2 linked regions of the Notamacropus eugenii genome follow. The protein of the gene in region 2 interacts with the protein of the main gene of each other region in a biochemical or structural test. Links are inferred from orthologs where the notes say so. Each region holds a gene or a part of one and is shown on either strand. Other genes may lie near its edges.

Region 1 (16,469 bases), on a different chromosome or scaffold from region 2:
ATTTAGCTATTAACAGTATGTAGACCCTAACAGAACTACAGCTGTGAACAACAGAGTGCTAGCAATACCCCATACTACCTCTTCATTAAACTAAGGTTTTTTTCACAGGGCATTTTATAGAGCAGATTCTAGAATCAGAGTTTGAGGGATACTTTAGGTCCTAAGGCCTAAAACCTGGAGGCTTACCACTTCACAAAGTGACTCATTCCACTTTTAGATAGCTGTAACTGTTAGAAAGCTCTCCTATTTAGTCAAAATCTTATTTAAAGAGGTAATAAACAAATGCTAGATCATTCATTCATTCATTAAACTATTTAGTACTTGGGAGTCATCAGCCTCCTGCAACTCACCATTTAGGGAATAAAGGGAAGGGAATAAAGAAAAATACAAACACAACAATAAAATATGGAACAGAAGAAATAAATAAAATACCAGACAATCCCACAAAGGGAGAAAATCCAATAAAGAATATAAAAGTTAATCAAAAAAACCCCAACTACATACAACTCATCTATCTATACCTGTCGACATCCATTTAAAAGCTTCCCTATACTCCACTTATTCAAAAAAGTGGTGAGTAATAGCCCTGAAAAAGGAAACTGTCCATTCAGCAAATATTTGTAGAAACAGCTTCCAGGCATTAATCAATCACAGGTTTAGCAAAGAAAGGAAGACATCCAAGAGAGAGAAGACAGGATGTCATACTATCTGAAAATCACATCTGAAATGCAGTCTTGAGAAAGAAGGAAAGATCTTCAGGTTGCTCTAGAGGGAGGAAGGAGGTCTCTGTTTTCACTCCCATTAGTTAGACACATTTGAAAGCTCCAGGTACTTTTTACTTTACAAACTCAGAAACTTCTGATTAATTTACAATATTCACTAAGAATGCCCATCAACAGTAAGAAAAAGACATTTTCCTCATCATTTTCTTTATCATTTTAGCAGTTTTTTCAGGCCTTTCTCTTTTCATTGTATAGTCTTTTCTTTAGTGATTTCATTAACTTCAGTGGGTTTAATTACCTTTATATAGATTCCAAAATTTTAATATCTAGTAATAATTTCTGTCCTATAGTTAATTTTGCATCCTAACTGCTGACTTGACTTCTTTACTGGGGTCTTTATTTTGTTCTGGGAATGCAGAGGCAGAAATGAAACAACCTTTGCTCTTCAGAACCTAAATTTCACAGGAGACACAAATGCTGAAATACATATAAAGCAACGGAACTAAAATCAAGTTTCAGCGAACAAGAAGACCCTTTCTAATGATCAGAGCTGCCTCACAATGAAGCTACTACATCATGAGCTCCCTCCCTCTCTTTGGAAGTAGTCAAGTAAAGACTGGGTAAACACACATCCACAATGACATAGGGAAAAAAAAACAAACTTGTAACCCCAGTGCTCAGCATGATGCCTCACACACAGTAAGTGCTTAATAAATACTGATTGACTAAGATACCCTCTCAAGGGACTTCAGAATTCTAATGTTCCTCTGAATGGAGTGAGAGGTGAGGTTTGCATATATCATCTCATTTGGTCTTCATAATAACCCTGTGAGGTAGATGCTATTATCCTTATTTTGGCAGATGGGTAAACTAAACCTGAAAAAGGTTACATGATTTGCCCAAAAAGTAAATGTCTAATGCAGTATTTAAATTCAAGTCTTCCTGACTTGAATCTACCACTATCCTACCCAACTCCCTCCAAGACAATTCATTAGGATACGTGAAGAAGATAGAATATCTATTTTTTATCTTGAAAAAGAAAAATTAAGCCTTATTAATTGACAGGCCAACATACTGGCACCCTCCCTCAGTCACGCGTCACAAGAGGAAGGCTGAGTTCCACAATGGTGAGGGATTGAGAACAGTACACTCCATCACTCACTTCTAGCACACTATGATGTATTACAGTTTACACGGAGCTGGGTAAGTGATTTATGGGTTACATAATCTAGTTTAAACTAAACTGACCCTCCCAAAATGGAAAAGTGGCTTAAACAGATTCCTGCAAGGAAACTAGATTAGAGACAATTCTACTACCAGGATCACAAGTGAACAAGAAAATGGCAGAGTTGACAGCCTTCCTACATCTGGTACAAGTCCTTTAGATATATTACAATGTAAAAACAATGTTAAACTAAATTGATCTGACAAGAAGTCAGCCAAAACATTTAAACTTATCAAAACTATGTGAAATATGGATTTATATCTACTACTGTTAAGAATAAACCTTGCTCTAAATGTGTATTTTGTGTTATGAGAATTTAGCTAGCAACAGTACAAAGACCTCATAATGAGGTAGGCATTCAAAATGCTTTTGTTGACAAAAATAGTTGAAATGTAATTTTCTAACCTATTTAAAAATTTATGTTTGCTTAAAAAAAGAAAGAAAAGAAAAGCAACATCTTCCAATTAGTTTCCAAGAACAACTGATTTAATATCATGGAGGATGGCCATATATTAGACAAATTTCAATTAAAAGCATTATGACTGCTGGACAGGACTGAAAAATTATTATCAAGATTTTAGTGAGCACAGCTAACAATGTACTTCTTCCGTTTCAATCTATGCATCTTTTGATAAAAGTTTCAGTTAAAATAGCTAATAAAATCAAGTAAAAATAAACTGAACTTAGTACCAGTCCTTCAGATTACTATCAAAATAATGAGCTATGATTTTCAAATATAAAACTTATTCAATCGTATTGCTCTTACTAAAAATATTACAAATATTTTCGTACAAGTGAAGTTTTTGTTTCATTAATAAAAAAAAGTTTTTAAATGCCATTTATTTCATCTAGCTCAACCTTTTTAATTTCAATTTTAAGGTATGTTTTTAATGTACATCCATAGCACAGTATATTTAAATACTTTACAAATATAAATATAGGTAAATACAGAGACACATGGAAAGATCTACATGAACTGATGCAAAGTAAAGTCAGCAGATTCAACGAAACAATATACAACAAAGACTATAACAATGAAAATGGAAAAAACCACATACACATATCAAAAGTGAATGTAATAAAACTATAAAGAACAAGCATGGCTCCAAAGAAGAAACAGGAGAAGACACTTCTACCCAACCTCTCTGCAGAGGTGGGAGGTCTATAAATGTTGCACATTGCACATATTCTCAGATTTTTTTCAATGTACTGATCAGTTATGTTAATTTTTTTTCTCTTCTCTTTCATTTATTGTCTTGAAAAAGTACCAGTTGTTATATGGGATGGTTCTCCAGGAGGGGAAGGGAGCCTGGGGTGATGTTTGGTGATGTAAAAAATAAAAGACATTAATAAAACTTACTTTAAAAATATACACACTTGTATATTTCCTTATGTGTGTATACTTCCTTACGTGTGAAATGGTTTGGAAGCCACTAGCAGCTAGATGGCACGGTGGATAGATACAGCAAGAGGCGTGCAGTCAGAAAGATCTGAGTTCAAATTCTGCTTTAGACCACCCATTAGCTCTGTAACCCTGGGCAAGTCACTTAATATTGTTTGCCTCAGTTTCCTCATCTGTAAAATGGGCTGGAGAAGGAAATGGCAAACCACCACATCAGCTTTGCCAAGAAAACCCCAAATTGGGTCACAAAGAATCAGACAGGACTGAGCAACAACAACAATGGCCTTGCAATCACTGATAGAAGACCAGGCCATTTACCATAGGCCAGATATAGAGCTGGAAAGGGCCTCAGAGTGAGTGACCTCTAACCCAACTCCCACCTATTTTTTCCTTTTTTTAAACAAACGAAGAACTAAGATCCAGGAATGTTAATTTCCCAAGTTCACACAGGGAAGAAGTGGCAAAGGCAGATTTTTGAACCCAGGTCTTCAAATAAAGATCCTGTATTCAGGCCTTTGCATCACATCCTCTGTCAGGGGGAAGCAAACAGTAAAAGGGAGTAATATGGATGTGCACTTTGCCCAACTTTGGGAGCGTAGATGGAGGCTGAAAGAGACAAGCAGGAAGATAGATAATTCAGTTTGGTTAAATTCAAAACAATTGCATTATGTACAAACTGTGCAAAGAACAGGTGATACAAGGATGGAAATCACTGTCTCTGCCCACCAGTTTATAATCTAGTAGGGGAAGATAAGACATTGTACAAAATCAAGGAAATCACACCAAGCAAAATAGCATAGAGGGAAAAGGGAAGAAGGCCTGGACATGGCCTTAGGGAAGACTCAAGATTTGTGGGAATGACCTGCATGAAGGCCCAGCAAAGAAGACTGAGGAACAATTAGGTAAGAAGACCAGAAAATCTAGAGAGAAGAGAGTAAAAAAGAAAAGAGAGTGACTGAGCATGTCAAAGGCTGTAGAGAGGTTAAAAAAGGAAAAGGATTAAGAAGTCTTAGATCTGGACATTAAAAAGTCATTAGTAACTTTGGAGAGAGCAGTTTCATGTTGAATGATGAGACTGGAAGCCAATTAGGAAGAGAAAAGATTAGGAGAGAAATTAGGAGAGAAAAGGAAGCAGAAGCACTGGTTAGAGTCAGCCTTTTCAAATTTAGCCACAAATGAGATGTGATAAGAGGACAGATATGGGACAAGAAGGACCAGAGACAGATCAAGTGAGGGTTCTTTGAGGAGGAGGAGACTTGTGTATCTTTATTGGCGGGAGGGAAGTAAATAGTACAGAGGGAGAAACTGAAGATCAGGGAGAGAGTAGGAATAAAGGGGACAATCTAGGGAAGAAGGGATGGAATGGGACATCATGCATATTAAGACTGTATGAGAAGGGATCACCTCCTCATTTGAGGCAAGTGAAGGAGATAATGGCAGAAGGCATCTGAATGATGTCAAATGAGGAGGCAGAAGAGAGTACCCTTAAGGAATGGTCTCTATTTTTTCCAGTGAACATTGAGGTTACATTCTCAATCTGAGAGAGTGGGGAGATGGGAGCCAAGAAAAGTTTCAAGAGAGATAAAAAGGTGTGGGAAAGCCATTGTGGTAATTTATAAGTGCTGGGGACACAAAGAAAGGCAAAAAAAAAAAAAAAAGAGCCCCTGATCTTGGGGAGCTCAGAGTCTAATGTGGGAGACAACCTGCAAACAATAAAAAGACAAGATAAACTGGGGGAAATCGCAGAGAGAAGACCATCAGATTAAGGACTGGGAAGGCTTAGTGCAGAAGGTGGGTCTTTAGTTGAGATCTGAAAGAAGCCAGAGAAGTTGTACCTGTCCAAATGGTAGCTCAGGCCTTCCTCACCTACTCACTAGCCTATGGCAATAGCTTTCTAATTATTCTTAAGGCTTCAAAAGTCTCTCCCCAGTCCAACAGATCCTCATTCAAACTCCAGTAACTCACTATTAGTTCCGGATTTTTCAAAACCTAACACCCTCCTATCTTTCCAGTCTTCTTACACTTTATTCCCTGCCACACACTCTTCAATTCAGTGACACCACTCTCCTTGAGACACTGTCTTTCAGCTCCAAGTATTTCTCTGGCTGTCTTCCATGACTGAAACGTTCTCTCTCCTCACCTACGCTTCTTGGCTTCCTTCAAGTTCCAACTAAAATTCCAACTTCTATAGGAAGCCCTTCCCAACCCCTTCCCTCTCTTAATTACCCCCATTTTATCCTGGATATAGCTCATGTGTACATGTTTGTTTGCCCCATCAGATTGTAAGCTCCTTGAAGGCGGCACCGTCTTTTGCCTCTTTTTGTAACCTTAGCACTTAGCACAATGCCTGGCACATAGTAGGAGCTTAATAAATGTTTACTGACTGAAATATAACATCCTATGTTAAATGTTCTCCCTTCTGACTTCCACCTCTTAGTTTCCTTGGCTTCAAGACAGCTCAAAACCACCTTCTGCAGATGGTCTTCTGGCCCCAAGAGCTGCCACAGCCTTCCATTTACTCTGCACATACCTATTTACATTTTGTCCTACCCATTAGAATGTATACTACTTGAAGACAGAGACTTTATTAAATTAATAAATGCTTCTTGACTAACTAAAGCCAGATTGCAGAGGACTATGAATACCAGAACAAATCTGTTATCTTTTATCCCATAGGCAATGAAAAGCAGGTAAGTAAGAAAACGGGGCACATAACCTTCACAATGTAAGAAAATAGAAAGGGGACTAAATTATGAGGCAGAAAACTTGAGTTTTAAACCTGCTCTTGGACAAATGGCCATTCCATGCCTCAGTTTCCTTCTCTGTAAAATGCTGGGTTGAACAAGATGATCTCTATTCCCTTTCAAGTTCTTGTGGTCTGTTTTTTTTGTTGTTGTTGTTTGTTTATTCTTTAATTAAGTAAATATATTAAATGTTTATCATTTGCAAGATCCAGGTCCAGATACTGGGGAAGACACAAATCTCAAAAAACATAAACATAGTCTGACAAGGTAAAAAAAAAAATCACACACAGAGATGACCACACACGTATGGGAGAGGTCCACTGCAAAGTGCTGTGTAGAGGGGAAGAGAGGGAGAGATCAAAAAAGCATTCCGGCAGGAGTCGGCCCATGTATTCCTTGCATAGACATCTATGAAGTGCCTACTCCGGCTAAAGCCGGCAATGGAGGATACAAAAAAATTTTAGGTGACATTCCCTACTTTCAAGAAGCTTACATTTGAGGAAAGGGGTTAACAAAATTTTATATATGTGTGTGCATGTACGTACCTATATAGAGATATATACACACGTACATACATACCCACACATATATGTATGCATACATAACACAGAACAATACTAAACATATACTTATGTGTACCACGCATTACATCTATGTTACATGCCTCTACGCATATACCTATTTTACCACAGAGTGTAATGCAGGCAAGAGACATCCAAAGGGTGGGGTAGATATGCTGGGCAAGTATTGTCATCTAAGCCTCACAATAACTTTAAGAGACACCTGTGATTACTCCCAACATTTCCTACACGAGGGGAAACTGAGGCAATCAGAGGCAAAGCCGCTTGCCAGGGTCATCCAACTAGTAAGTGTCTACGGTAGAATCTGAATTCAGATCTTCCTGGTTCCTGATCCAGTGTCTATCCCCCAGCCACCCGGTCCAACCCTGCCTTTTAAAACAGGAAAATAAGGCTTAACTAGCCCCTTTACCCTAGGCATAAGCAGAGGCCTCTGCCAGTCAGGGCCCTCATTCTGCCCCCTGACCTCGACACCTCCCTACTCTGCAAACCCAAAGGGACGTGTCCGTCGGTCCGGTACTTTCACGTCGTGGGCTGGCCCAAGGCCGGCCCTTCCCATCTCGGGTGGGCACCGGGCAGACCCCGGTGTTTCCCTCGAGGGCAAGCCGCTCGCTCCCCCCGCTCTCCTTCGGGCCTACTCGTCTGCACGTGGTCTCCCCCACTGGGCCGGGAGCCCTCGGGGGGCGGGGAGTGTTCTTTTACCACCAGCCCCCCCTTCCCATCCCCCCGGCGCTTCACAAGCACAGAGCCCGGCACACAGCAGGCGCCTAACGCGCGAGCTGCCCCCGTCTCAGGGGAGGGCGCACTGAAGGAAGCCCCTCTTGTGTCCGCGCCCGAGGGAGGCCTGACGAGCGGGGCCGGGGCTGCGCAGCCCCTTCCCCGGGGCGCACGTGCCCGTCCCGGGACGCCTACAGGGAATACCGCCCTTCTCGGCTTTCCTGCCCGGGTCGTTCCGAGCGGCCGGGGTCGGCCGGGGTCGGCGCCTGCGCACTGCCCCCTCCCCCTCCGTCCCGGACGGGGGACAGCTCGCGCCCCGAGGGGGCCCGGCCTCGCGCCTGGAAGGGGCGTCTGCCCTCTGGCCCCGGAGCCCAGAGCGAGGGGCGCCGAGCGGCCGCCGCGGGGGCACTCACCGGGCCGGGTCCCGCGGGAACCTGAAGAAGGCCAGGTCCGACTGCGTGCTCTTCCGCGTGCAGTTCGGGGCCGCACAGAAGTTCGGCATCGTCGCCCGTCCAGCCGGCCGGGCCCCCTCCCCCTGCCCCCCGCCGGCGGCCTCCCGGCCCCCGGGGAGGCCGGCCCGGCTGGGCTCGGGGGGAAGGAGGAGGAGGAGGGGAGGGAAGAAGAGGAAGGGAGGGAGGGCGAGAGGAGGTGGAGGAGGAGGAGGGGCGCCGCGGGCCGAGGCCGGGCTGGGGACGCAGCTCCACAGTGCTGTGAGCGGCCGGGAGGATTTACCGCCGCCGCCGACGGCTCTAGCCCGCCCGTCCGCCCGGGACGCTGCCGCCTCCTTCCCACAATGCACCCTGCCTCCCTCCCCCTCGCTGCTGCCGGGGGCTCTCTTCCCTTCTCCTTCCTCTCCTCCCCGCCTTTTCTCCGGGACTTCAGTCCTGGGAGCACGCGCAGTGAGGGCCGGGCCGGGCCGACCGCGAGCGGAGCGAGGAAGGGCGGCGTCTGGGGGCGAGAGGCGGTGGCGGCGCGCAGGCGCGGGGAGCCGAGCCGCCGGAGGGAGGCGGAGGCGGGGCGGGGAGGGAAAGCGGAGAGTGAGCGCGCGCCGCATCCTCCCCACTTAGCGCAGGGAGCGCCTTGGCTCGCTGTGGGGCAGATCCAGGCTGGGCTGCGCGGCCTTGCGGTCTGCGGAGACCCCGCTTCGTTCCGCCGCGTCGGAGCTGACCAAACCAACGTGGGAATAAGGCCGGGCGGGAGACCCTCTGTTTGTTCGTTCAGGGGACTGGCCAGAGCCCGAAAGCGAGATCTGCCCCCTTAGCGAGCCCCGGAGGTCCGGTCGTGACTGTGGCGTTGGCCCCTCCGGTACCTAATCCCCAGGAGAACAGCGGCGCCGCAGAGGCCCCGGGGACCGGCTGGAGAAGTCACAGATGCTAGAAGCCGCCCTTCCCAGGCTGGCCGCCGCTCGTGTGCCCGCAGCCGCGGTGGGCAGGCGCGGGCCTCGTCCCTAGAGCTCCCCTGAGAGAAGGGCAAGTGACAGGTGGCAGGCAGCGACATTTCACACGTAGCGCGGAGCTCAGTCCCCGAGACGAGGCCCGTTAAAAGCCTACGGGCACGAAGAAGGCTTGGTGGAAGGAGAGGAGGTGATCGTGCCATCAGCTGCCAGGACCAGAGGAAGCATTTAGAATGGCATTCGATGGATGCTTAGCCGTGAGCGTGATGATAAAGAAACTTATTTAGAAAACGAAAAAAAAATGATTACCTAGATTGTACCTGGCGTTTTGAAAAGGGAGCAGAAGCTAGAAAGATACTCTTTTTATAATTCAAAGAAATAGGTAGAAAATGCATTTTGGAAGGAGAAAACAACTTGTGGAAAATGGTATTTCATCTGTGACTGTCAGAGATACGCTTCTGCCTGCTCAGCTTTCCCTTTTCCACCACTCAGCCAATGAATGTTATAGTCCTTGTCACCAGTATGCTCTGGGCAAGGCACAGTCCCTTCAGGACCAGCCTTTGCTTCGTGAGATGAACACAAAGGTCTAGAAAGCTTGGATAGCAAGTTTCCCCAGGATCAATGTCTTCTCTTTGCTACTGGGTTAGAGCTATCTTTTTTGTGCCCTGCTCATGCTCCTTCAGTTCCTTTGGAGGCTGACTTTTGTCTGTTTTGGGGGCGGGGTTGCTTATGATTACACGCCTCATCCTGGTCCTGACATTCATGACTGTTTTAATGTCAAACATACCATTGTCTGGTTTTTACATGCTTGAGATGTCTACTGCTTACCGGTCTCTGATTCATTACCACTTTATCATTTCTGGTGGCCCTGATGCCCAGGCCAGTGTTGCCTATGAACTAATATGATAGCATTCTGAGACTATCCCTCAGCCCTTGACTATGAAGCACTTTGAAGGTCTGCGTATCCAAATTATTCCAGGTTCTGTAGTATAAAACTCATCTCTCAAAACCAAGCTTACCTTTGTATTGTCTTAAAAGTACCATCTTCACTCTTCCCTTTCTACAAATTTTAGGGGCATCTAGGTGGCACAGCGAATAAAGAGTCAGGAGGACCTGAGTTCAAATGTGGCCTCAGACACTTGACACTTGCTAGTTGTGTGACCCTGGGCAAGTCACTTAACCCTGACTGCCTGCCCCCCTGTAATGTTAATGTAAGGTTAATGGTGAGTACAGGGAAGAGTTAAAGATCTTCCCCAATCATTAATAGGCCTCAATACCTTTTGTTAATTTCTGTTGAGGCCCTGAGTCAGAGGGTTGTGTTCTCCAGTGCTGAAAAATGCATAAATACTCTGAGGTGAGGTTTTACTTTGGGGCTTACTCATTGGAAGTGTTTGTTTGGCCAGACTAGACTCTGGGAAGCCACTACGGAGCCCCCCAGCTTTGAAAACCCAGATATTGGTGCTTTTCTCTCTGGTAACTATGTATTTAATGGTCAGACAGTTGGATCTGTCTGTTGATTTGTGATGTATGTATTACTTATAGTCAGCCTACATACTTCATTGCTATTAAGAGAACTAGAGGAGAAGGAAGGCCCCTGGCACCCTGAGTGGAGTATTTCTGGGAGAACTTGGATAAGAGCTGTAATGGGAAGAAAAGATATGGAGGGATTGAGATCTGAACTAATTAAACAACATGAGTGAGATCACAGATCTAATTGAAGTATTAAAATACATTTTTATAAAATAAAAAATGCAGATCCTTCAGTAAATTAATCCTTTTACAAATTTGTAAAGGATCAGGGCAGAAGAATACTTGAATATTACAACTCTTATGGTTAATAAATGAATGATTTAGAGAAAGATTCTAATGTATAGTCAGACAGTCAGTAAACATTTAAGTGCCTGCTGGGGCAGCTAGATGGTACAGCAGATAGAGCACCAGTACAGGAGTCAGGAGGACCTGAGTTCAAATCTCACCTCAAACACTTGACACTAAGTGACTTAGGCAAGTCACTTAACCCCAATTGCCTCATCCTGGGTCATCGCCAGTCATCCTGATGAATATCTGGTCACTGGATTCAGATGGCTCTGGAAGAGAAGTGAAGCTAGTGACCTGCATGGCCCTCCCTTACTCAAAACAAAGTCAAGGGCAAGTCATGTTATTATTTCTCTGAGGCATGGTCTTCTTTGGCAATGAAGGATGAACACAATTGCTTATGGTCAGACAGTTGGAAGCCCTGTCTGTTGGTCTTTATTTCTCTGCTTGTATTTTATCTGAAATTCAGGATACTTTTTCCCCTGAACTAAGTGAATGATATATGTGCTTGATTAAAGTAGATTGTTGACCCCTCAAAAGTTACTTTCCTTTCAGAAAAGCAGAGCTAAGAACCTGTACAGCAGGCCCTCCTCTGTAGGATGGGGTTCCCCCCCGCAAAATTTCTAAAACAAACAAAACTGGGAATCTATTATTGAATTTTCCCTTTCAGACTTGCCATTTGAGAAAAGCTGGTTCAGCCTCAGTCTCTATCCATGCACTGAAATTGCACTTAGCTGAACCAATGGCTATATTTTAATAGTCCATGTGAGAGAAAAAGAGGAGCTGAAATAGGTTGGTAGTTGACATAAGGGGATGGATGGATGGATGAATGGATGGATGGATGGATGGATGGATGGATGGATGGATGGATGGATGGATGTGAGAGCCATTGGAGAAAGAGAATTAAAAAAGACAATAATTGATTGCCAAGATCTAAGTCTATAAATCAGCATCCAGCTCTAAGACTATGAACCTATAATATATACTGAGAAAGAAAATGTTATAAAAACAAAAATATAGTAATTAAATGTAGATTGTTTCAGAGCAAGTTTGATTATTTTGATCTTAAGATTTAAACCTTGGTTGGTTGGTTGTTGTCTTTTATTCTTGAAGAGGACCAAAATGACATCATTATGTCAGAGTTGAGATACAGTGATAGATATATAGGTAGGTAGGTAGGTAGGTAGGTAGGTAGGTAGGTAGGTAGGTAGGTAGATAGATAGATAGATTAGATAGATAGATAGATAGACAGACAGACAGACAGACAGACAGACAGACTGTGGCTGATCAGACCTATATAAACTCAGAAGGCCCTACCGTTAGTCAAGCACAAATAATAAACCTTAGAGAGACACCATGAGTGGACAATCAATGGAGTCCAGAATTAAATAAGAGGAGGAAGATGGACATGAGCACCAAAGGGAAAGAGCTCAACCCTAAACTTCTCCCTGAAATTAAGGCCTATCTTTTTTAGTAACAATATTTTACAGATGGTATTATATGACCAACTGTGGAATACTACAGTCTCTATAGAATTAAGATTGAGTATTGCTATCTCTCAGAGGGTAGTAGAAAGGTGCATAGTGGATAGGAAAAGACTTGAGTGGATAATTAGGAGCTAGGGAGAAGGAATCAGAGTAAAAGATATCAAAGAAATATACGATCAAAAGATTATGACTGGTCATGTGGCAAGATCAAGGGAAAAATCAGTGGATGGCCCACATTCCCTATACTGGTAACTACACAATTCAAGAGAAATTAAGAATGTTGTGTATACCCACTGTGAATGAACTTATGGGGACAGGTACATAGGGATGCATTGTTATCTACATGATTGTAAGTAAGATTCATATCTATGGAATCACAGATCCATCTGAATATTTTGCTACTTATTCCCAAGTTTATTATGAGGCTCCAATGTGAATTTATGTAAAATAATTTACAAATCTTAAAGCACTATACAAATGGGAGTAGTCAATATGTTCAAAATGGAAGAGACGAAGTCTTTAAACTATAAACTACTGATTTTTTTTATTTCAATTCCAGGCAAAGTCCTAGAATATATTAATAAAGGGATGGTTTGTGGGCATTTAGGAAAGGGATGTGATGATCAGCGAGGGTTTGACTTAATCAGGACAGGTTATGTCAGACTAACTTAATTTCTTTATACAACCAAACCAAAGAAATAAAGTGGTAGATCAGAGAAATGTCACAGGCAAAAACATACTATACTTAGATTTCAGTAAGGCATCTGACAAAGTCTCTCATGCTGTCCTTGTGATAAAGATGGAGAAAGATGGGTCCAGGGTTGGGGAGCCTGTGGCCTTGGGGCCAAATGTGGCCCTCTAGGTCATCAAGTGCAACCTTTTACTTAATCCAAACTTACAGAACAAGTCCCCTTAATAAAAGAATTTGTATTGTAAAACGTGAACTTAATCAAAAGGCTGTACCCAAGGACTTAGAAGGCCACATGTGGTTTTGAGGCCCCAAGTTCCCCACCCCTGGCACTAGACAATAATACGATTAGGTGGGTTTGGATCTAGTTACTGTATTTAAAGAATAAGTGTTAATTGATATTCAAAAAGATTGATAATAGAGTGCCACACACCTCCATAAATCCCCTAGGTTTTGTTCTTTAAAATCTGAGTATTTTGGTGCACTTGTTAATCCATATAAGTGAATAGTATGATATCATATTTCCACTTGACAAATGTAAAATCTGTAACGTGAGCCAAGGAAAATAGAAACAGAAGACGTTGAGCTTGTGTGGTTTGTCCTTCATTCTCAAAGAGGACCATGACATCGGGTAGTTGATGATATGACTTTCAATTGATTTTCACTTAAATGGAGGGCTGTGCAAGGTCACCAGCCTCACTTTCTCTTCCAGAGCCATCAGAGTCCAGTGATCAGATATCTATTAAGACAACTAGAGATGATCCAGGATGCAATGGGAGACTTTGGTCCTTTTAAGCTAAGGTCCCTGAGTCAGGCAATGCCCATTCAGTGAATAGGTCTCTTTAAACTGTAAGTCAAAGCAGCCAAGGGATAAAGATAATATGTACAATTACCATTATTGTCTCCTGGCAAGACAAGAGGAGAAAGGTGGAACTGCGTATTTTAAAAGACTGATTGACATCCTGAAGTCAAAATTTAACAACAGGAACACTTTAAGAGAAACTGACACCTCTATAATGCCTGCTTTAATGTGTACTTTTGGCTTGGTAATAAAATACAACAGATTAAGAAGGCATTCAAACAAAAAACATACAACGTTAAAGAAACACAGGCTTCATTACCCCAAAGAAGCTAAAGAAAGATGAGCCCTTCCTTGTCAGGAAGGAAAAAGAGAATTAACAGATAAACCCAGGGCCCACGATAAACTGATTAAAAATTTATAGAAATACCTTTAGACCAAACAGATCTTACTTCATAAAGTAATAGTAAAGGCTGACAACAGGTATTTACTATTAAATTTGTTGAATATAATTGAATGTGATTTGGCTCCAGATAGAGCCTATGAAATGGCTTAAGATTTCAGAGTAAAATCAAAATTCTCCTTAGGTGACATCTCCAATAACTCCATGCTCAATAACTCATTTTTGCAGGTTACAAAAATATAGCATGACACCCCGGACAGCTAGAATTATACACCAGAACCTCACTCTCCTTTAGGTAACAGATCTTCATACTACAAATACAAATCCCAAAATATCCTTGAGAATTCAACAGACTGCACTGGAACATGAGCATTATTATAGACAAAATCAACTGCTGCCCACAATCATCTGCTCAGCATTCATCCATAATAATTTTAGAACAATATTCTAAGTAGACATTGCTATACTGACTACTCATAACCTACAAACTACACAGAGTGAAAAGCTTTCAAAATATAGAAACCTAACAGAAGACATTAAAACTAAGTGGGAATAAAACAATGTATATGTCATTCCAGTCTTCTTATACCCTACTTCCCACCACATACTCTTGCATCCAGGGACACTGGCCTCCTGGCTGTTATACAAACAAAACAATCTGTGTCTCAGCTCTGGGCATTTTCTCTGGCTGTCCTCCATGCCTGAAACTCTCTCTCTTCTCCTCTCAGACTACTGACCTCCCTGGTTCTCTTTAAATCCCGACTGAAATACTACCTTCTGTAGGAGGCTTTCTCTAACCCCTATTAATCCCAATGTTTTCTATCTTTTAATTATTTCCTATTTATCCTGTTTATAGCTTGTTTTGTATATGTTTATTTGCATGTTGTTTTCCTCATTTGATTGTAAGCTCCTTGAGAGAAGGGACTATCTTTTGCTTCTTTTTCTATCCCCAGTATTTAACAAAGTGCTTGCTACATATTAAGCATATAATAAATGTTTATTGATTGACTCGTTCTTGTTTTCACTGCTACTAGAGTAGTCCTGAGGATACTTTAAGTTAATAAGATTATATTCAATAGTTTTAATCAACTACAAAGTAGTCATTTTATCCATCTGTATAATAGTCTACAGATCATTAAACATAAAAGAGTAACAGTAGAATAACGACTTGTGTCTGAATCATTCTAGACAAAATTCATTAAAAAAAACATAAGCTAATAACAGCAATAATCCTTTCAGTGGCCAACCCACCAACTATGCTGTGAGAAATGAGCAGTTGCAAAGTAGGAGAATACCAGAAATGGTGTACCTTAAGGGGAACAGAGTAGCTGTGAAGACATTTCAGGAACCTTAAAATGCTGGCAAATTAGACTCTGGAAATACCACTGATTGAATTAGCATCTTGAATGTGATGCAGTTGCTATTAAGAGTCAAAGAAAGGTGGATCAAGAGGGTGAATTAGGTGCAGCCCAGCTGAACTTTCTCAATGTTCTTCTCCAAACAATTTAAAAATAATGCCTCATCTCAAATTTTGGAGTGGCAGAGCCAACAAAATGTTGGGTAAGACATTTTTCTTGCCTAAGAAAATTTAAGAGGTTAGAAGGAGAATTTTATTACACTGGGGTGGGGTCTGTCCCGAGCCCACATAGGCCTCAGCAGTAACAACGGGGGCAACAGCAACTTTGAGAGCTTTCAACTCAGAGACAATAAGGGAGTCAGAAAGAGATTACAGGGGACCCTTTGCTCTTTCCGAGTACAGTTGGTGCTGTTTGGCAACTCTTATTGCACAAACACAGTTCCAGGGCAGTTTGGGTTGGAGAGGGGAGCTGGTGATCAGTCCCAAAGGAGTGGGAGCCCTTTTTGCAATTCCAAGGCAAAGATGAGTATTACCATGTCCAGCTATAGGAGAGCAGGAACTCTTCCTTGGCAAAGACCAGAGAGTAGACCAGGAGACCATTGACCATACCTTTCCCAGGATCACATCAGCCTAGAAGTACCCAAAACTCGCATACACCCAAAACAAGCTCTGAAAAGAGTAGCATGAAAAAACCTGAAGTTTGGCACAGGGTCATCCCATCCCTAGGTAAACAGAGCTCAACTTTAACATAAAGTTCAAAGTCAAGAAATAACTGGGGGGAAAAAAGAGGAAACAGCAAAAAATTTAATCACAAAAAGCTACTATGGTGGCAAGAAAGGCCAAGACATAAACACAGAAGAAAACAACAATGTGAAAACAGCTACCAAAAGAAGCCTCAAAGAAAAATGCTAACTGGACTCAAACTCAACAAGAATTTCTGGAAGATTTAAACAAAATGTAAGAATGGTAAAGGAAAAATTGGGAAAAGAAATAAAAGGGGTGCAAGAAAATTATGAGAAGAGAATAAATAGCTTGGTAAAAGAGGCACAAAGCAGTACTGAAGGAAATAACACCTAAAAAAACAAGATTGGCATAATGGTAAAAGAGGCACAAAAATTCAGTAAAAAAAACAGTTCCTT
Region 2 (16,568 bases):
TTTTGTTAAATATCAATTTTTTTCTATTGATCTTGAAAGTTACTTCTGAATCTAACACAAGATTGACAAAAGACTACGTAACTAAAATTAATGTTTAAATTATTTGCTTGAAACTTAAAATCCAAGATACTAGAGGAAAGGCAAGGACTTTTCTGCACGCTTCCAAATTCACTTCCAAGCAACTTTAAATAATGCCTCTAAACAAATTCTGGAGCAATAGAACCCACAAAACGAAGGGAAAAACAATTTTCCAGCCCAAGATAACTTAGAAGATGAACAGGAAAGTTCTGTCACATCAGAGTAAGAGCGGAGCTCAGTGCAGAGAAAGCTCCCACCAACTGAATCAGCGGCAGCAGGAGCTTCCAGAGCTCTCATCCCACAAAGAATAAAGGGGTTGGACAACTGGCCAGGGGATTTTAAGAGTCCCTTTGCTGGATGCACTGTCCATACACGGATCCATGTCACAGGCCCAAAACAAGGAGGAGCACTAGCACACCAGAGTTTTCAATACCCTAGTGGAGGAGAATGGACTAGTCACAGTTCCAAGGCAGAAAAAAAGTGCTTATAATTGCTTACTGACTAGCACACAGGGCAGGAAAGTAGTAAAAAAAACACCTCTCCTTAGATCATGCCACCTTGTAGGATTGAAAACTTACAGAATCCAAGAACTACCTCTGAAAACAACTGCACAAAAACCTGGAAGTTCAGGACTTGCTCTTTAACCCAGAGGCCAGGGCTCAATTTTAACATCTAGTTAAAAGTCAAGAAACAAACTGGGAATATGAGCAAACAAGAGAAAAAGAAAGTGACTACAGAAAGTTAATATGGTGGCAAGAAGGATCAAAACACAAACTCAGAAGACAACAACAAAGTCAAAACTGCTACATCCAAAGTCTCAAAGGAAAACTGTGAACTGATCTCCAGCCCAAAAGAATTTCTAGAAAAGCTCAAAAAGAATTTTCCAGAATCAAAGAGAGGTAGAACAAAAATTGGGAAAAGAAATGAAAGTGACACAAGAAAACTGTGAAAAAAGAGTGAACCACTTGGTGAAGGAAGCACAAAAAAATACTGAAGAAAAAAACTTAAAAAACAAAATAGGTCAAATGGTAAAAATCCAATTAAGAGAAGAATGCCTTGAAAGGCATAACTGGTCACATGGAAAAAGAAACAAAAATTCACTAAAGAAAAAAACTTCTTAAAAAGTAAAATTGGCCAAATGGAATTGAAGGTATAAAAGCTCAATGAAGAAAGTAATTTATTTAAGTTTTCAACATTCATTTCCACAAAATTTTGAGTTCCAAATTTTCTCCCCATTTCTCCCCTCTAACTACCCCAAAACACTCTGCCATCCTGCATGACAGACTGTTTCCCACAGCCTTCCAGGTCATCCTGGCCTGGAAATCTCCTCCATTCTGTTGTTCTATGGCTTCTGCTGCTCTAGAATTTGTAGAGAGTCTTTCTTTACAGGTATATTATGGGCTGTGGGGGTAGAGCCAGTGTATGTGCATCTTTCTACTCCACCCCCGAAAATAATTCTTTAAAAATTAGAACTGGGCAAGTGGAAGCTAATGACTCCATGAGACATTAAGAAACAAACAAAAAAAAATTATAAGAATGAAAAAACTGAAGAAAATGTGAAATACCTCACTGGAAAAACAACTGACCTGGAAAACAGATTGGGGAAAGATCATTTAAGAATTATTGGACTACCTGAAAGCTATCATTAAAAAAAGAGCCTAGATGTCTTTCAAGAAATTATCAAGGAAAATGCTATAATATTCTAGAACCAGTAGGTAAAAGAAAAATTGAAAGAATTCACCAATCATCTACTGAAAGAGATCCCAGAGCTCTTGGGTGAAGGAAAAAATACTGCAAGCAGCCAGAAATAAACAATTCAAATATTATGGAGCCACAGTCAGAATAATACAAGATTTAGTACCGTCTATATTAAAAGATAGGAGGGCTTGGAATGATATTCTGGAGGGCAAAGGAGCTAGGTTTACAATCAAGAATCATCTACCTAGCAAAAGTGAATATAAACCTTCAAGGGAAAAAATTCATATTCAAATGAAATAGAGGACTTTCAAGCATTCCTGATGAAAAGACTAGAAATAGCCAATTTCTCTTTCAAATACAAGACTCAAGAGATGCATTAAAAGGGTAAACAGGAAAGAAAAATCATAAGGAATTCAACAAGATTAAACTGTTTTACGTTCCTACGTAGGAAGATGATACTTGTAACTCCTAACTTACTCATTATTAGGGGCAATAAGAAAGATTATTCAAAGACAGAGGGCATTAGTGTGAGTTGAATATGATGGGATGATATTTAAAAAAATAAAATTAAGGGGTGAGAAAGAGAAATGCACTGGGAGAAGAGGAAAGAGACAGAATGGGGTAAATTATCTCAGATAAAAAAGGTACAAGAGCTGGAGGGGAAGCAAGGGAGTGGATAGCGCTTGAACCTTACTCTCATGGGAACTGGCTCAAAGAATTAATAACATACACCCTCAGGTATGTAAATTTATCTTACCCTACAGGAAAGTAGAAGGGGAAGGGGAAAAGAGAAGGCAGGGAGAGCTGATAGAAAGAAGGGAGGACTGGGGGAGATTATGGTCAAAAGCAAAACACTTTTGAGGATGGACAAGGTGGAGGTTAAGAGAGAGAGAGAGTGAGAGAGTGAGAGAGAAGGGTAAACAGGAAAGAAAAAAATAAGATGGAGGGAAATACACAAGTAGCCAGCTACCATAACTGTGAAAAAAACCTTTTACATCAAGTTTCCCTTAAAGAGGCCTCATTTCTCAAATATATAGAGAACTGAGTCAAATTTATAAAAATAAGAACCATTCCACAACTAATAAATAGCAAAGGATATGAACAGGTAAAGTAATCCAAGTTATCTAATCATATGAAAAAATGTTCTATATCAACATTGATTAGATTAATGCACATCAAAACTCTTAAGATACCACTCCACACAATTAGATTGGCTAATATGACAGAAAATGAAAATGACAAATGTTGGAGGGGATATAGGAAAACTGAGACAGTAATGTATTGTTGGTGAAGTTGTAAACTGATTCACCTATTCTGGAGAACAATTTAGAACTATGCCCAAAGGGCTATAAAATTGTGCATACTCTTTGATCCAACAATACCACTACTAGGTCTGTATCCCAAAGAGATTATAAAAAAGGGGAAAAGACCCCTATGTGTAAAAATATTTATAGTAGCTCTTTTTTGTGGTAGCAAAGAATTGGAAATTGAGGAAATGTCTATGCACTGGGGAATGGTTGCTCAAGCTGTGGTATATAAATGTAATGGAATACTATTATACTATAAGAAATGAAGAGCAGGAAGATTAGTAAAATAGAGGATTTTCAAGCATTCCTGATGAAAAGACCAGAACTGAATAGAAAATTTGACATTCAAACACCAGACTCAAGAGAAGCACAAAAAAAAAAAAAAAAAGTAAACACGAATGAGCAATCATAAAGGTTTCAACAATGTTAAACTGTTTACATTCCTACATGGGAAGATGATACATGTAACGACTAAAAACTTTATCATTATTAGGGCAGATAAAAGGAGTATACATAAACAACACAGAAAGGAGTCATTTATGTTGGAATTATCTCCAAAAAAAATGCAGGGGTAAGGAAGAGGGACACTAGGAGGAGGGAGGAGGGACAGGTAGAATGGGGAAAATTTTCCCAAATAAAAGAAGCCCCAAGGAAGGGATTTTACAGTGCTAAGGAAAATGGGGAGGATGGAGACAGGCTTGAACCTCACTCTCACTCGAATTAGTTCAAAGAGGGAAAAATATGCATACATTCTTTCTCTCAGCTATGTAGAGAAATATAACTTAATAAGGTAATAGAAGAAGAGGACAAGAAAAAAGAGAGAGGGATGATAAAAGGAAGGGCAGATTAAGAGAAGCATGGTTAGAAGCAAAATAAACTTTCTAGAAGAAGAAATAGAAAAAAATTGGATGGAGGGAAAAAAGCAAAATTAGAGCAAATAAAAAGGGATAATTACATTTTTCAAAAAGGTACCACAGACAAAAATGTTATATCAAAAAAATTTACAGCAAATTTCTGTGATAAAGACCTGAAATATATACTCAGTATAGAACTGAGCCATGAAAATAAGAGCCATTCCCCAATTAATAAATGGTCAAAGGATAGAAAAAGGGAGTTTCCAGAAAAAAAATCAAAGCTATCAAGTCAAACGGAAAAAAAAATGTTCTAAAGCAAATATTCTCTAAATCACCAGTGATCAAAAGGCAAATTTAAACAACTCTTGAGTTACCACTCACATATATTAGCAATTACAAATGCTAAAGGAAAAGTGGGAGGAATAGTGAACTGGTCTGAATAACAATTTAGAAGTAGGGTGAAAAGGCTATTAAAATGGCATACCTTTTGACCCAGCACTACCATTCCTAGGTATGTATTCTGAAAAGGAAAAAAGACCTAAATGTACAGAAATATTCACAGCAGCTCTTTTTGTGGTGGCAAAGCATTGTAAATGGAGGGAATGCTCATCAACTGAGGAATGGTTGAACAAGTTGTAGGGAATAATTGGAATACTCTATGCTAAGGGGAATGACAAGGAAGGTGATTTCAGAAAAACATGGCAAGACCTATATGAACTGATGCAAAGTCAAGTGAGAACTGGGAGATCATTCTGCACATTAACAGCAATGTTATAAATGATGATCAATTGTGAAAGACTTGGCTATTCTGATCAACACAACAATACAAAACAACTCCAAAGGACTCCTGATGAAAAAATGCTAACCATCTCCAGAGAAAGAACTGATGAATTCTAAGTGCAAATTAAAATACAATTTTCTCCCTCTGTTTTTCTTGCTTTTTAAAAGAACTATGGCTTAATATGGAAACGTTTTGCATGAATTCACATGTATAATTGACATATTGCTTACCTTTTCAACCGGTAGGTGGGGGGGGGGAGAATTTGAAACCCAAAATTTAAAAAGAAACTAATTGTAAATAAATAAGCTTTTAGAAATATTTTTAAAAGAAAACCAAATGAAGCAGTTTTGATCAAAAACGCTGCTCAGTTTATATTTCTGGCCTTTGCAATTTATAAATCACTCTAGGGCATCAACTAACTAAGTTTCCTATAGTCTACAAGAGGGGATGGCAATAAATATTTGTAGAGAACAGTCCCGCTTCTCCTAGTCTAACCTTGAAATGACTTTGAAGAACAGGTCTTTAAAAAGCCAACATATAATTTGAACACCACCACTAGACTTTTCACAAGCCTTTAAGAATTTCAAATACAGTTAACCAGCTTTACATCTATGGTAGTTCCTCCAAACCTAGCGTATCATTGTTTTCGTAAGATTTTTGCTACAAGTATCAACTGAGAAAAAGAAAGCTTATTCGCTCTAGTGAATTCTTCTAGGAATGGTCCTATTGGATTTCCTCTTAAGGATAGGTCATTCTCATTCAAAATGTTTTGATAGTTACACTGGTAGTTGAAATTGGACCACGTACAATACCACAAAATACTAATTGTCACGCAGTATTTTAAAATTTCCAGAAATTTTCAATGGCAAACTAGTCAAGCACTTGATTCTTTTACCACACAGCCTTTCCATTCTCTAAAATATGACTTGTTCAAAATTCTTCTAAAAAATCTCAAAGCTCTAATTAAAGTGAATTTTGTATTAATACTGTGCCCCTATTTCTTGTAAAGACCTTATTTTTCTGTTCAAGAAGGTACATGGATCTTTGAAGTCAGTTCTGAAAGTCTTTTGGACCCCTTTATAAAAATAAGGTGTTGAGTTTTTTCTAAAAGCTGTTACTTTTTCCTCTATAAATTTAAGCTTTCACCAGGAAGCACACATTGGATAAGCTCCAGTATCTGTGCTATTCAGTGTTTAAGGTACCCAAATAACAAAAAGGTCAAACGTTCACACTGACATATACAAAGTTCTAGCGGTTCTAGTTTACAGAACAACACTTTTGGTCCTTTTTAGGGTCTCTTTTCCTAGTATCTTGGTCACGAGCTGTATCTTACGTAGTCATCACTATTAAAAAAAAATAGTCCCTCCTGCCTAAGTATCCCAGATCAAACCCCACAGGTTCATTCAAAGGAAATCCGACTGATCCCTTGACCCAAACGTGAAAAAACCATCTGTAAGCATCCCCAGCATATATGGAAGTATGAGAACCAAAAACTATGGTCCCTAGCCTTCCTAAATCTTGCTGCACCTCACAGGAGCCCCCCGCTCCCTTCCCACCCACCCCCAAAAAGCAACTGCTTTTACACTTAAGAAGCAAAGTTCCACTTCCGCCAGTCAACAGATACCTGGGCCAGTCCACTGCCCTTCACTCCGCCCCACGTGAAACCTCACCACAGGGGTCCCTAAGAGTTTCCCCTCTCTCCTGGGGAAGGGGCGGCTGAGGGTGCCCCCTCCGTCAGGGGAGGGGCGGCTAAGGCTCCTTTGCTCCCAGGAGTAACAAAGTGATCCCGGCGAGTCCCGGGCCCCACCTGGAGCCCCTGCCCCAGGATCCCTAGGAGGCGGCCAGGGGGCGGGGACGTGGGGGGGCGTAGGACGGGGACCGTAAACCTGGAGCTCGGCCACGACGGCTCAGCCCCATCTCAGCCCGGGACGGCCCGCCCCATGCACCCCAACGACGGCCGCAAATACCCCCGTCGCAGGGGCCCCCTCCACCGGCCCGCACCTCCCGAGCGCGGGGGTAGGGGGTTGGGAAAGCCGTCCGAGGGCCAGGCCCCGCTCGCCGCCGCCGCCCCAGGCCAGGAGGGTCTCCCTCACCTTCGTACTGCAGATCCACCAGGACAAGCAGGAAGGGGAAGACCGAGCCCAGCCGGTTAGTCACCGACCCGAGGGACACCATGGCCGAGTGCGCTCGGGAGAAAGAGGCCGACGAAGAGAGAGTGCGGGAACTGACCAGCTCCCGCGGCCGCTGGAGCCGCTCGGGCCACGGCTGCTGACGGGAGTAGGGGGCGGGGCCGCGGACGCCGCTACGCCCCGGACCCCCGCCGCCGTCCAATCGCGTGCTTCCAGGGCTTCCTCTAAGCGGGCTCGCCTGGGTCGTGGTCGGCGCTGATAGGTCGCCGATGTTCTAGCCCCGCCCCTTCTCTGATAGGATAACGTGGAAGCACGAGACGCAGAGGCGTCCGCCAGCCCGAGCTGTCAGAGAACCCTAAGGCTGGCTCGGCGGGGAGGAGGAAAGAGGGAGGGACTGGGAGCGAGCGGGGAAGAGCCCGCGGGAACCCTGGAGGGTGAAGTTGTGAGGCGACGGCGGGGAGGGCGGGGCGGCGTCCGAAGGCGCATGCGCCTGGGGCGGCCTGGAAAGCTCCTGCTGTTGCTCCATCCTTCTTTGGCTCACGGGATGCGGCCTCCTTCTAGTCTGGCTTTTCCGGTGACGGTCGAGAAGTGAGCCCGAGAGCCCGAGCTGAGGAACCGCAGACTCGGAACTGGAAGGGGCCTGGGAGAGCCTACCGTCCACCCTCCGCCCCCGCCTCCCAGATAAGGAAATCCGCCACGAGGGGCTGACCCGCTCAGCCCGAAGGAGCACGTGTGCGGGGTGGGGTGGGGGTGGGGAGCGGCCCTCCTGGGCGGGGTGGTGCCGAGACACAACTACGGAACCCCGGAGTAACCGGAAGTCGGAGTACTTGATGGCGCTGGGAGAGGGAGGGTGCGGTGCTCCTGTGGAGTGACTGGATGTGATGGAAGTGGGAGGAAAGACCAGAAAAGAAACGCGGGCGGCCCCAGAGGGGGAACCCGGGAAAAGAGACGGGTTCGGGCGGGCTCCTCTAGTCCAACCTGCTTTTGCCAGGAAAGCTGGCGTAGAATCAGACCGTCCCCCCCCCCCCCCAAAAAAAGTCCTTGCATCCTTAGTAAGCGGGGCAGCCGAGAGAAATGGTAAAAGGGAGGGCACTGGGAAGTGGGACTGGGAACGAGCGTAAGAGTCTGCGCCTAGCTGATCCGAGCAGCGAAACTGACTGCAGTCTGTGTTCGTGTATGTATGTATGCATGTATGTGTAGTATGTGTATACGTATGTGGATGATGTATGTATATGGATGTGTAGACTACATAGTCTGACATAGGCAAGTTACATAGAAATATCGGTGCAAACGATACATATATATGTTTATATACACACACGTGTGGTTTGTACCGATACTTCTCATACCTGTGTTGTAAGTCCCACCTCTGGCGGATACCGCTCAGCATACAGCATATATGATGCGTGGCACAGAGTAGACGCTGTTATTAATTTGAATTAATCAATTATTAAATTGAATTACTGACTATGTAATCCTGGGTTTAACCTCTGGAACTAAGTTGCCGAGAAGGTACCCATCTCCATTGGAGTGTTTTTATTGGGAAGTGCTCTCTGCAAGTGAAATCGCAGATCTGAACTATATCCTATAAATCAGCTTTGTTTTGTTTATTTATTAACCAGTCAACTGACTGAGCTTGTATTATCTTCAAGATGGCAGTTTAATGATTGCTCACATTTATATAGCACCTACTATGTGCTAGACGCTGTGCTAACTGCTATACAAATATCTCATCCTCACAACAGGAAACTCAGACAAACATGCCCACCATCACACAGCTAGCAAACAGATCTGAACTCTGATCTTCCTCACCCCAGGCCAGGTGCTCTTCTATCCTCTCAATCCTAGCTACACCATCTAGCTGCCTCACTTAAAAAAAAAGTTAGAGAAATCCATGATTCGAAGCTATGAGTTGACACCCCTGAGTCATTAGTTTAGTGGTGGTAGAAAGTTAAAAGCATCAGAATGCTAGAGAACCTTCTCTTCTAAGGTGTCTGAGTCCATTTGATTTAAGTACATTGCACAAACCAAGTGACAGATGTACTTCAGGGTCAACAACTGTCAGATAATGAAGATACTAACCCAATGTGATGGTATGGCCAAAAGATGGAGAAAATATGGACTTTGTCATGAAGGGAACAAAAAAGGTTGTTATATCCTGCTTCTTTAATGCTTACTGCAGTTCTGGCATTAAGAAAGATGTAATAAAGTTGAAAGAAGTCCAAGGAGGGCACCTAAAATGATCAGTTTAGGGTTTGATCTTATTAGAATACTAAATAAGGGCTCTTCTATTAGGAACAAAAGTACAGGAGATGGAAGTCTGGATAAGGGGAAATTTGTTTACCAAATGTATTCGTCCTTCCTTGCCAAAGAAGATCATGCCATCAGAGAAATGATGACATCACTAGCACTTGACTTTGTTTTGAGTGAGGGAGGGCTGTTTTTACCAAATACTAGAATACTGGAACTAAGAACTTGCTTAAGTTTTAGTAAGCTAGTTAGTTTGGAAGCTTTGGAGTTAGTCATTAATATCTTCTGTTTTAGATTTAGCAGTAAATAATGGAAGCTTGTGTATCCTTATTTTTCATTTGTTCTCATTTATATATTTGGATATGTGTACTTGTAAACATGTAAAAAATACCAGGACAAATCATTATTGGTGGATTCTAGACAACATTTAAGAATGGTGTTTCTCTGCATTTGAAAATTCTACTCCATGCATATTACTGTCTGTCCAAGGCTTTGACTTTGACTTCATTGCAACACATGTGACTTATCACAAAACAAAATACCTAGGTGCTGTGGGAAAACAATTTTCTGGCATTTAAACTATTTACAAAAAGTAACATTTCAAAGTTGCCTTCACTGCAAGCTCACCTCGTATATACACACCTGTTGTGCTGTAGGTAGCTGTAGTCGTTGTTTATTTCCCAACTTTGAGTACTACTTTATTATCTAGGTAATAACTATGTAAGACTTGCTATCCAAATAAGTGTTGAGTATTAATGGATAATAAGGGTATAAAGTCATGAATGATGTGTTAATAATGAACTATCAAAGCAAACTAGTAATATTCAGAGGCAATTCTACATGAACAATGGCCTAGCATGGCATTGCATGTATTATCACACAATTTTAAGAGTTGGAAGGAACCTCTACAGCCAGAAACAGTGGAAGGGAGGGGCAGCCCTGCAGCCCATTCATCCACATTTGTCCAAGCCGTAGTCAGAAAGTGATCTCTACTATAACATCTGACAGCTTTGCTTGAAGACCTTCAGTATAGGGGAACACACTGTCTTCTGAGGCTGTGCATTCAACTTTTGGAGAACTTTAACATTTAAGAAGCTTTTTACCTGACATTGTTTAAATTTGCCTCTTTGTGACTTCTACCCGTTGCCCGTAGTTCTGTCTCCTAAGGCTGAGTAAAATAAATCTAATACCTTATGCACATGGGCCCTTAAAATACTGGAAGATAGAAGTTTTTTCTCCAAACTCAACTCCTTTTCCTTCAGCAAGCCCTCCCTCCTCTCCCACTCTCTTCTCCCTCTGTCCACATAAAGTGTCATACCGTTATTTGGGAGTGCTCTGCCCAAAAGGATATAAATTTTGATTGCTGAAACCTGAAATCTTGAAACCTGAATGTCCTGGGGTTTTCAGGGTAGATTTCTTTCTTAAGAACCATACCTTAAACCTACATCACTCTGGCTCTCATTGATTAGCCAACAGTAGGTCCCAGCCCAAGCCTGTCTTGGTTCTTGTTTGGACCCAGATGGCTGAGTGAGTGTAAATAGCAGTTGTTTCTCTTTTGGCCAGAAACCCTGAGGGTCTTCCCCTCCCAGATGGATTTTTTTTTTTTTGTTTGACTAGGTAAAAGATGTCATTCTTTGCCTCATTTCTTACCTAACCTTAATCACTAAATAGTCACTGCCTCAATCAAACTGAGAAAAGACCTTAGCTTAAAAAGGCCAAGGTGTCCCACTGCATCCAGTTCTGATCAATCTTGTCACTGGACCTAGATGGCTCGGGGAGAGAAAGTGAGGTTAGTGACTCTGAACAGCCCTTCCTCACTTAAATCCAATTCACTTCAAGAACGAAGGACAAAGACAACTACCTCACGTGGCACAGACTTAAGGCCCTTCACCATCATAGTTATCCTCTTCTGAACCGGCTCCAGCTTTCCAAATTACTTCCCAAACTGTGGCGCTCCAAACTGACCACAGTATTTCTAATGTGTTTTGGCCATGGCAGAACACAGAGGGGCTATCACTTGGTAGAAGCTATCACATCTAATACTGCAGCCCAAAATCAAATTACTTTATTGGCTGTCATAACACACAAGGCCAACGTATTGAGCTTATTTACAATCAGCTAAAACCACCAGAATATCCCCAAATTCCTATCATTGGAGACCTCAGCTATCTTGCTGTTGCAAAGCTGATTTGTAGAACCCAGGTAGAAGACTGCATTTTATCCCATTCCTTGGTAATCTCATTATTTTCTAATCAAGATTAAGTCAAGACCCGTTTTGGATCCTGATTCTGCCATTCACTGTGTCAGTTTTCCCTCCCAGCTGTTATCTGCAGATCTGATACAGTGTACCACTTTTGCTTTTATCCAAGTGAGCGATAAAATGTTAAACAATGGAAGGTTAAACCTCAATTGCTGGGGTACTCCAGTATATTGCCTAATTTATACTGAATCAATAAATGCTTTCTGCTTACATCTTTTCAAGGAGTTCCAAATCTATTGTTTATTCATCCAGCATATATCCCTCAATTATCTCCATAAGAAAGAAAATACTTTATCAAATGTATTTTCTCAAATTCAAATAAACTACAGTCTATCTGCTGCATTCCCCTTCTCTGCCAGTTAAGTAACCCTGCCAAAAAGAGGAATAAAGTTATTCTACCACTTAGATGTTCTTTATGGAGCCATGCTCACTCATTATAATCAGTTTCTTTAGATGTTGACTATCTAATATTTTACCCTAGAATTAAACAAATTGAGGCCAAGCTCACTCAGCTATACTTCTCAGGCTCGGTGCTCTAACCCTTTTTTAAAATCAGAATAGCACTTGAACTGTTCCAAACTTGAAACTTTCCTATTCTTAATTATCTTTCAAATATCAGTGACAGTAGCCTAGCAGGCACATCTGCCAGTACTTTCAGTAGCCAAAGATAGCATTCATTAGGACCAGGTGATGAATGAATCGAAGTCAACACCTATGTGGTACCTCTCTTGGCTAATTCCCCCCTTGCCATTTGTGGCTACTACAATGGTCATTTCAGGTGGCCAAGAAAACAGAAGCAAAATACTACCATTTTTTCTGCTGTCCCTAAGCAGCAGTCCTATATGTGGGTTCTCTTTTCCCCAACTAGTTAAAAAGAAACAAACAAAAAAAACCCCAAAAGCCTTTGCTGTCCTTTCTCGCCCCAGCTCATTCAAAGCTTTAGCATGATCGACACTGTTTTTTACAAAACTATGTGCTCATGTTAATCCCATTACCTGCACTCCATTCCTTCTTTTGTACATGTGTGTTTTTTTCCAAATTTATTTATGTATTTGTTTTCAGTTTTCAACAATCACTTCCATAACTTTCTCCACCTCCCTGAGATGGCATGCAACCTTATATGGGCTCTATACACTATATGTGTGTTAAGAACCTGAGTTGCTTGGTGAGTTCCCAGTGCACCCCCACTAGAATCTGTAAAGAAGTCCTCTTTTTTCCTCATAGGAACTGTTTATCCTTGCGTCTTCATAATTTTATTTTTAAGAGCTTCCTATCCCTTCTATGCTCTTATCCCTTCTAGTAAATCAACAATTATTCATTAATCTTCTACTGTGTTCCAGGTATTCAGCTAGGTGTTAGGGATACAAAAGCAAAAATGAAACATTCCCTGTCTCAAGGTCTTTGCTTCTGTTGGAAGAGACAATATATACATATTGAAGAATATATAGAATACAAGCTAGTTCAGGGAAGAAAAGTACTAGCAGATGGAGGAATCAAGAAAAGCTTTATTTAGAAGAAGGCACTTGACCTGTCTTGAAGAAAGCAAGGGATTCTGTCAAGTGGGGAGGAGAAGGAGGAAGTGAATGTCAGGCCTCAGGGACAGAAAATGCAGAGCCCAATGGGGAAGGCCATCTTGTAAGAAACAGCAAGAAGGCCATGTTTTCTATACTGTAGAGAATGGGAAGGGGAATAAAATGTATAATGAAGACAGGTAAAGTTGGTTGGCAACAGGTTATAAAGGGCTTTAAAAGACAAACAGGAGTTTTTCTTTTATCCTAACATCAATAGAGAATTGCTGAAGTTTACTGAGTAGGGGAGTGAAGTGGTCATACTTTTACCAAAGAAAGTTCATTTTGGGAGCTGTGTGGAGAATAGATTGGAGTAGGGGAGAAATTTTAGGCAGAGAGACCAAAGCAGGCCTTTGCAAGAATCTGTATGAAAGGTGATTGAGGGCCTGAACTCAGGTAGTAATTGTGTGTATTAATGAGGAATTGAATGTTAGAGATATTATGAAAATAGAAATGATAAGATTTGACAACTGACTGAATATTCATGTGGGGTAAAGAAGCCAAAGATAACACCAACTTTGGAACATGGAAGCCTAAAAGGAAGAAGGGTATGTTTGGGTATGAGGTTTGGAGTTTTGAGACATTTTGAGTTTTTGATAGCTATGGGACATCCATTTGAAATGTGCAGTAATTAGCTGTAAATGAAGCTTCTCTTGAAGTTCAGGAGAGAGATTAGAACTGGAGATAGATAGATAGATAGATAGATAGATAGATAGATAGATAGATAGATAGATAGATAGATAGATCTGGCAATCATCAGCTTAATCATATGCTAATCAAACCAATTGGAATCATTGAAGTCAACAAATGAGAAAGTTTAGAAAAGGAAGAATTTTAGTCTGTAAAAGTCTATCAGTCCTTCCTCTTATGTCTTTCAAAAATCTGTCTTCCCAAAATCTAGGATATATGTGTTCTCTATCACAAACTTTAGGAAGGAATGGTCACTTCCCCTTAGAGTTCTTATTTCCATCCTAGAAACCAATTCCTTTGTGCTACTGAAAATCATCCAAAATAGAATTGCACTTTGTTGGTTCCTTTACCTTTTGAAGGATGACATTATTATTAGTGCAAGTCAAGAAAGCTTTGCTTTCATCAGTGAGAACTGAAGCAGATGACAGGATAACTGAATCTCCCCATCACTATTATCTCATGACTGTTCCAGTTTTGTGCCCATTCTTGCTACACTGAAAGTCACCACCCTGATTCAGGTCCCTATCACATCCTACCAAGACTATTGAAATGGCCTCTGAATTGTTCTCCCTGCCTCATCCCTTCCCACTCCAGTCTATCTTCCACACAGCTTCCAAAGTGACCTTCCTTAAGTGAAAGTCTGAGCTTTTCACTCCCCTACTCAATAATCCATAGTGTCTCTCTGTTGCCTCTGGGATAAAACATAAAACTGTTTCAAAGCCCATCACAACATGGCCACAACCAATACAGATCCATTATATACAATGCTCTCCTTCCTACTCTTTATAGTTAAGCCCAGCTGACTTTGATTTTCCTCACACACAACAAACCCAGCATCTCTCTAGGTGCCGTTGCAGTAACAATCCCACCTAGCTAGAATGTATCTTCCTCACCCACCCAACCTACCACATAGAATTCCTTACTTTCTTCAAGTCTCAGCCTAGGTTGAAACCATTACTGTTTCCCTGAGGACAAGTGCCCTTCCTTCCAAAACTCCCTTATATTTGTTTTGTTTTCATTCTGCATATACTATGTTATCTCCCATAATAGATTGTAAATTCCTTGAAGACATATCCTCAGTACCTAGCACATGCCTAACCACTTAATAAATGCTTTTGACTTATTGATTAGTAGCTATGGTAGGGCAGTTAGGTGGTGCAGTGGATAGAGCACCAGTGCAGGAGTCTGGAAGACCTGAGTTCAAATCTTACCTCAGACATTTGACACTCACTAGCTGTGTGACCTTGTGCAAGTCACTTAACCCTAGTTACCTCATGCTGGGTCATCCCCAGTCATTTGACGTATATCTGGTCACAGATGGCCCTGGAGGAGAAGTGAGGCTGGTGACCTACACAGCCCTCTCTCACTCAAAACAAAGTCAAGTGCAAGTCATGTCATCATTTCTCTGATGGCATAGTCTTCTTCGGCAACAAAGGACGAACACATTTAGTAGCTATGGTGCTAGACTTGAAGTCAGAGATAGGAAATAGCAGTATGTTCCTTGGAACTCATGTTCCTTCCTTGATCTTCAGGTCCTCATCTATTAAATGGAAATCATTAGAGCATCTACTTCATGGGATTGCTGTGAACTAATAAATATAAAGTACTTTGCAAACCTTGCAAAAAAGTGCAAAACACTATATTAATGTAACCTATTGTCATTATTTTTCTATGTAACATTTTTTTCCATATGACATATCTGCAGACAATCTGGCATGGTGGAAATAGTGCTAAATTTAGATTTTAGAGACCTAGGTTCACATCCTGCCTCAAACGCTAACTATATGTCCATGAACAAGTTACTTAAATTGTCAGAACCTATATCTGTTAATTTTTTAAATGCATTTCAAATTAAATTAATCTGTAAAATGGGGCAAATAATACTTGCTCCACTTATCTTACAGGCTTATTGTAAGGAAAGCACTTTGTAAAACTTAAAGTTCTGTATGGATGTACATTACATGTGTCTTTTGTAGGAAGAAACAAAACACAATCCATAATCACATGAGGCTTCAGTTTTTTCATTTGTAAAATATAGGAGTTGGACTTGATCATCTCTAAGGTCCCTTCTAAATCTAAATCCTAGGATCTTGTAGGAGTAATGACAACTATACAGATAAATATGATACAAACCAGAATATGGCAGGGCAGTGATAAAGCAGAAAGTGTGCTGAATTTGGAGTCAAAGAATTTGGCTTCAAATCCCAGCTCTGACTGCTGGGCACCTTGTACGAGCTGTGTGACTTTTGGCAAATCACTTAACTACTCTGGGACCCGAGCTACATTATCTGGAAAATGAGGAGATTGGACCTTTCCAACTCTGAGACTGCACTGTTAGAGACTCTATAGCCATTAAAATGTATCATTTTTATGTGAAACAGAAAAGCTGTGATTCTTCCCCTTCTCCATATCTGTCTTAGAATTATACTAGCCCTCAGAACATAGGGTCATCTGCCACTGAATTCTCCCAGTTATAATACCAAATATTTGTGTTTGTGGACTCTTAAAGTTAAGTATTCTTTTCTAAATTCTGCAGAGCAAAAAAAAAATTGTCTAGCTGTGTGAGCTATGTTTGCCTCATTTTCTGCATCTGTGAAATGGAGATAATTAGCACCTACCTCTCAGGGTTGTTGTGACATTCAGTTGAGATAGCTGTTATAAAGCACTTAACAGTGCCCGGTACAGGGGAAGGTAAATGAAATAAATATCAACTATTATTATTGATGCCATTCAGTCATTTTCAGTTGTGTCCAACTCTTCATGACCCTTTTTTCCCTTTGGGCAGGGGAGGGGAAACTCTTGGCAGAGATATAGGAGTAGTTGCCATTTCCCTCTCCACCTTATTTTACAGGTGAGGCAACTGAGGCAAACAGGGTTAAGTGACTTTTCCAGGGTCACACAGCTAGGAAGTATCTGAAGCTGGATTTGAACTCTGGAAGATGAGTCTCCCTAA

Evidence for each region.
Region 1: the proteins of DNAJC3 (region 2) and THAP12 form a complex in vitro, tested with the Homo sapiens proteins (2 studies listed by BioGRID). The link is inferred for Notamacropus eugenii from reciprocal best matches to the Homo sapiens genes DNAJC3 and THAP12.

Annotation. Positions count from the first base shown.
Region 1 is NC_092876.1:127,768,148-127,784,616, reverse strand, and holds the start of THAP12 (52 kDa repressor of the inhibitor of the protein kinase), read right to left. Parts: upstream 8,123-16,469; 5' UTR 7,891-8,122; coding exon 7,802-7,890; intron 1-7,801. UniProt on the Homo sapiens protein: Upstream regulator of interferon-induced serine/threonine protein kinase R (PKR). May block the PKR-inhibitory function of DNAJC3, resulting in restoration of kinase activity and suppression of cell growth.
Region 2 is NC_092877.1:232,122,668-232,139,235, forward strand, and holds the start of DNAJC3 (dnaJ homolog subfamily C member 3), read right to left. Parts: upstream 7,067-16,568; 5' UTR 6,894-7,066; coding exon 6,812-6,893; intron 1-6,811. UniProt on the Homo sapiens protein: Involved in the unfolded protein response (UPR) during endoplasmic reticulum (ER) stress.